2 linked regions of the Tribolium castaneum genome follow. The protein of the gene in region 1 interacts with the protein of each later gene in a pairwise test. Links are inferred from orthologs where the notes say so. Each region holds a gene or a part of one and is shown on either strand. Other genes may lie near its edges. The genes, in order: Sld5 and DNA replication complex GINS protein PSF1.

Region 1 (3,062 bases):
TACAATCTTGACCCATTTGAAAAATGTGATGACAAGACTTTATGGAAGGCTTTAGAAAACGTGAGTTTTGTAAAACCGCAATATATCACTGATTTTTTTTGTTTAGGTCGAACTCAAAAATGCCATAGACAGCTTAGACCAAAGAGTGAGCGAGGGAGGTTCCAATTTTAGTGCCGGCCAACGCCAGCTTGTCTGTCTTGCCAGAGCTATAGTCAGGAATAACAAAGTGCTGGTTCTGGATGAAGCAACCGCTAATGTTGATCCGGCAACTGATGCTCTGATCCAAACCAGTATACGTAAAAATTTCAAAGAGTGTACAGTCCTAACTATAGCACATCGATTGAATACTATAATGGACTCGGACAAGGTTTTGGTGATGGATGCAGGAGAAGCGGTGGAGTTTGACCACCCACACCGGCTTTTACAAAATCAGGAAGGTCGTTTTAGTCGCATGCTTCGCGAAACGGGGAAAAATTTAGAGACCCAGCTGAAAGAAGTTGCAAAAAATGACTACGAGAACAAATTCGGACCAATAAGTACCAGTGATGAACAAAATGATAATAAGGAAGAATAGAAGATTTATTTTTTTAAAACTTAATAAATAATTGAGACGCTTTAAACTACTTAAAGAATGTTACTTAACATTGAGATTCTAACAGTGTATTTATTTTGAGTTTTTTGTTGATTTTTATCAAATATATTACATATATTTTATATCAATTGGACGTCTCCTTTTTTCACCAAATCAGTCACGCTGTTATATGACAGTATCATTTGCGAACCCACAGTTAAATCAGCGACTTCATCATCGTCACGGCTTGGGTCTATAACAACCCCTTCTACGGCAGTTTTAGCTTTCAAAAACACAAAACTGTTCATATTTGGCGCAACTATGTGACTTTTCCAGTCTTCGAATGGCAAGCCCGGGTAAAAATTAGTCGCATTTTCGAAATGCTGTTCTAAGTCTATAAAAACAAAAAAAAATAAGAAAACAAAACAAAAACAGTAACTAAAAAAATAAAATAGAAAAAAAAAACAAAATATAAAACCTTGTTTGTATTTAATCGCAAATTGTTGTTCGGCTTCCGTTAAATACAACTCTTCTTCTCTCTCGCCCCTCTGTTCCTCTTCTTTTAAAATATGCAAAACATAAGTTTCGATTTTTTCCAATCTGTGACGAAGGTAACTCGCCACCAAAAAACGAATCCTATCGACTTCCAATTGATGAATTCCTTTTTTAAAGTCGGTGGATGGTAAAGTCTCTAAATTTTTTTCCATGTATGATATTTGTCCCAGCACGCAATCGACAACTTCTTGTTTATGAGGGAGGATCTCAGGTGCGAATTTCTCATTAACCCACACTTCCTCCATCATTTCGATTAACTCGGCTGAAGTTAATTGCACGTTGTCATCGTCGTCGTCCTGAATCGTGTTTTCTAAATCTTCCAATTCCAAATCCATTACAAAATAACACAAAACACAACTGTGAACACTAATCAGCTGAAGCGCGGGAAAACGTGCTCAATTGCCAACCGTGAAACACCAAAACCCACTTTAACACGTAGTATTATTGGTTATCTAGCTAAGGGGCACCAAATAATGTATTCTCCACCATTATTTTGCGTTTCCGAATTTATCGACTTGTCTTTTGAAAAATTCCACTGGCGTGGTTATTTTTAAGAACTAAGGTTCGTCCTTGTAGTAAATTCAAACAATGTAGGCCATCGCCATTTGTTCAGATGTCACATTTAATTGTTAACTTTTAGCGCTTTTAATGAGTATTTTTAATGAGCGTGAAACCACATCCATACTCCCATCAATTGCATAAAAAATCACAAAACAAATTGTTCCGGTCGATTGTATGTAAATTACAAATAAACAGATATTACCATTCGCGTATCTAATAAATTTTAAAGATATAGACTTTCTCAGGGGCGTTGCACAATCTTCGCGATCCTTGTGGAGAACTTCTCGAATATTTTTTCCGCAAAAACTTGTTAATGAAAATTAAGTAGGTGAATAACTGAAATGGTTGCTTGCAAATCTTCAATTAAATTGCTGGAGCGTAACGTTTGTACGTCTTTTAAATACTGATGGCATTTAAGTTAGATAAATTACACAAATTTCGTCACTTTATGTAAGAAATTCGTACCAATTCTAGGCAATCGTGCCAATAATTTTTAGTATGAGGAAGTTTTTTCCATTAAATAACAAATTTTCCTTAGCAGTTTTCTTCATTCCGGTTTCCATTCGATTTATCTCTGGTACTTTCAGAATAAATAAGTCATTACGTGTCTGGTAGCCATCTGTTTGTTGTCATCCTACATGAGATTCATCTTATAATCATAACACTTGAAAGTGAACGGTGTTAAGATTATTGTCTGGAAAATTAAGCAAATATTTGCTCAGATCGATCAATAAAAGATCCACTTAAGGCAAGTCAACAATTGCTCGCAGCAGGGGGACTCTATAATGCAACAAGATAATTGATCGTACTTAACACTGATTTATGTAACAATTGTAATTCTTTCAATCTGTACCACGATCTTCTCATTTTTATTACATTTCCCGAGGCAATTTGTCGGTTTTGAAATTTATGTTGTCCAAAGAAGCAATGACAAAACTGGCAGAAGCCATAAAAAGGAGCAAATTGATGACCTCATGAACCATCACATCAGTCGATGAACTTTTTTTTCTTCGACAAACTCTCACTATCCATTGCTTCACCCTCGATACTACAGTTAGTTTAACAGTTTCTTAAATAATAATAATTAATTTTTTCCTTTCATAATTGATGGTTTATTATCGAACGTTTGCTAATCGATCAATTTCGAAATTGCTAATTTGCGACGCTGTCCCTTGTTGCCTTAGATAAATAGATCCAAAACGTTGTTTTCTTTAAAATTTCTTCACTTGTTGCATCACGCATCATAGATGGAATTTTCAGTTAAAAAGTGAATTTCGTCACATTTGTGCAGATATTTAAAAAAGTGAGTGTCCAGATCGGTGCCTACATCTCGGCGTCGACAAAACAAACATAATTCACCAAGGGGAAAGAGAAA
Region 2 (3,203 bases), on another chromosome or scaffold:
TAAGGTGAGTCTCATTAAAATTCAGATTAAAAAAATGACAATAAATTGTCTATAAAATGTAACACCAACTTAAGTATTATTATTATTATCATCACAGATACGTTACAATAAGAAAAAAAGGGGGCCATACAAAGAAGCCATCAAGCAGGCGACGCTGGAAGCGAAGGAAAACGCCGAAATAAAGATGCGCCAACCTTTAGGAAACTCACCTTCCCATAATATCATCCAACAGGTGGTGCCACCTGCTTTGGCGTCGCCTAGAGAAATTGATGTTGTATCATAATGAAGCATTTTTCTCCTCCTTGTTTGGTGGAACATACAGGTTTTGTTGTAGCGTGTTTAAATCACGCTCATCACCCTGTATATACTAAATGTGTTAATAGCTACTACTGCGCATTGATGTATTCTTTTTTATAAAGTACTTTATATTTATACAGAAATATTTGTATGCAGCAGGCGTAACATGTTTCTTATTTTAATTCCTGATATTGTATCATCTCTTGTAAAGAATATTTTTTGTGATAACTTTGGATGATTGTTTTCATATTGAAGTGTTTTATTCAAGATTTTTATAGGGTTAAGTCATAGTTACTACTATCTGTTAAACAATAATCAATATATCTGTGATTTTATTCCTTTAGAAACATGTAAGTAGTAAAATTAAATTAATAAAGTCATTTGGTACTAAGGCCTATTTTTTCAACTACAATTTTCAGTTGACAAGACTGCATTGTGCAAGACCCGTCATGAAATATTACCATCGAACTAAAAAAATTAACAAAATTTTCCAAAAGTGATAAAAAAAATATTTAGTTGTCCCATTTCATTTCTTAATAGCATAATTTTTGGAACAATTTGCCCCAAAAATAAAATTAAAAATGTCTATTTAGTTAAGTATTCATTGTTATTATTAGATATTATAATATTACTCTTATACTTGGTTGCTAAAAAGTATGGATACAGTTAAATATTAAATAATAATTAATTGAAATCTTGTATTTGCTTAAAAGTACTGTTTAAATTCTATCGTTTTAGATGTCTATAAAATTTTCATTTACATTAATTTTGTTTCTGGGGATACAAGGCTAACTTTTTTTACACAGCAAGAAGGGTCAAATTTATTTTTTTAGTTCTTGATGTAACACATGCTTATCTCATTAAAAAAATATCTAACTAATAAAATTTTCTCTGCTTTGGAAATGTTGTCTTTATCTAACGTTAGCTCGTTTCCGCCTGAACTTTGACCAAAAAATAAGTTAAAGTTAATAATGGTTATTAAATAACACTTTTGTCTGTAAAAGAACACATTTTAATAAAAAAATTAGCTGTAGCCATACTTATTAGCCACTTTGTAAGAGCATTGACTGTCCATCTAGATTGCTTCTTCGTTAATTTATTATACGAATATTTTGCCATCAATTGTTTAATTATCTTCAAAAAATGTTTTTTGTAGTTACGACTTTTTTGCTTCGAAACTTCAAGAAAATTTGTATTTCAATTGTCGTATATTGAAAAACAGCACTCTAAAAAGATATGCATAAAATAACGTGCCAATATCATTTTTGCAAATAAATCGTTTATTAAAGTTCAAAATTTCATACTTCAATTATATGAAATAAAGATACCATAGAAAATTTAAGAAACATGAAATAACTCAAAAAATACGTAAAAGTAGTGACGAAATTTTTGCGTAGTAGGGCAGCATAACTTACCGTAGATGTGACATCACACAAGGATACGCGTGATTCGTGTAAACCCGCCTTTAGTTGTGGCCTGTCATTATAAATGCACCTTTACTGTCATTTGGCGGGCTTTTAGGTTAGAAAACTATTTAGACAAAATTTTAAATCGAAATGTTTTGTGAGAAAGCCCACGTTTTGATCAAAGAATTATCTCGAAACCGGGACGCTTTACCGCCTTACAACGTAAAAATTACCAAATTGTTCCTCACTCAATATTTTACAATTTTTTTTCAGACTGATCTTCTCAATGAAATCAACACTGAAGTCAAGCAACTCATTACTCAAAACCAAGAAGATGCGTAAGTTTACACACTTGATCCTCGAAACCAATACTTCAGCGTTTTTTTTTTCAGTCAAATTTCTGAAGATAGTCGGGTTATGAATCACGCCTCTTATTTACCTACAGTCAAAATACGGCATGCGGCTATCAAACGGAACATTCGATGCATTCTGGCTTATCACTACAATCGGTTAAAATGTCTCAGAAACATGCGCTGGCAATTCGGCAGTATTTTACCGCCAGATGTTAAATCGAATTTAAGTCAATCGGAAATTGAATGGTTTTCGAAATATTCCAGCAATTTAGTACAATATATGCGATCAATTGGTGATGAAGGGATTAATTTAGCTGTGGATTTAAAACCGCCAAAGTCTTTGTATATTGAGGTCAGGTGTCTAACGGATTATGGACAGTTTGAATTGAACGATGGTTCGGTGTTGTTATTGAAGGAAAACAGTCGTCATTACTTACCGAGAAGCGAATGCGAGGAATTAATACGACAAGGGGTCCTTGAACACGTTGTTTGAATTTGGCGCCTTTTTTTTAAACATCAAATGTCCTTGAAAATATTTAAATTACCTTATTTTTGTACGTGGTGATTCAATACTAAATAATTAGTTGTAACATAATCTTAAATTAATCTTATTTCGTAAAATAAAAGCGTCCAGTGTCGCCAACTCTGATTAAATTCCATGTTTTAGTGTTTGTAAGTAAATTGATACCTGAGTTATACACGGTGATTCTGTTAGGGCCTACATTAGTAACTTTTAACTTGTAATATAGCTAGAGCTTTAAAATTTTGTACACGATCTAAATCGACTATTCTGAATTCAACTTATTTTTTTTCAAAATGGCTGAGCTTTCGGAACTACAAAAAATTGGCGCCAAGTTTGAAGTTAAATCACTACTTCGCAGTTTTCATAGTTAATCAAGTAGAACTTGCAAAATGGTCAACAATTGTCAAACTTATTTAATTTTTAGCTGGTTCATTATCAAATAAGCAGTAAAACAATAATATTTAATTATGTTTCATTATAATTTTGTGAATTATGTAAAGTAAGGCAGTTTTACGGTTGACAATACAGAAGATTTTAGAAGATCTTTCAAACCTTTGGCTATCAAATGCAAAAAGAATTATTCACTTATTATAAAGGGTTCACGAGCTGTGATATTTCAAATGA

What was found.
Region 2: the proteins of Sld5 (region 1) and DNA replication complex GINS protein PSF1 interact in a two-hybrid assay, tested with the Drosophila melanogaster proteins (2 studies listed by BioGRID). The link is inferred for Tribolium castaneum from reciprocal best matches to the Drosophila melanogaster genes Sld5 and Psf1.

The regions. Positions count from the first base shown.
Region 1 is NC_087398.1:5,431,552-5,434,613, reverse strand, and holds Sld5 (DNA replication complex GINS protein SLD5), read right to left. Parts: upstream 1,534-3,062; 5' UTR 1,462-1,533; coding exon 1,050-1,461; intron 966-1,049; coding exon 712-965; 3' UTR 645-711; downstream 1-644. Other genes in the region: ATP-binding cassette sub-family C member 4, read left to right, coding at 1-60, 107-574.
Region 2 is NC_087400.1:16,460,491-16,463,693, reverse strand, and holds DNA replication complex GINS protein PSF1, read left to right. Parts: upstream 1-1,760; 5' UTR 1,761-1,853; coding exon 1,854-1,925; intron 1,926-1,976; coding exon 1,977-2,041; intron 2,042-2,095; coding exon 2,096-2,549; 3' UTR 2,550-2,699; downstream 2,700-3,203. Other genes in the region: PWWP domain-containing protein 2A, read left to right, coding at 1-4, 98-283.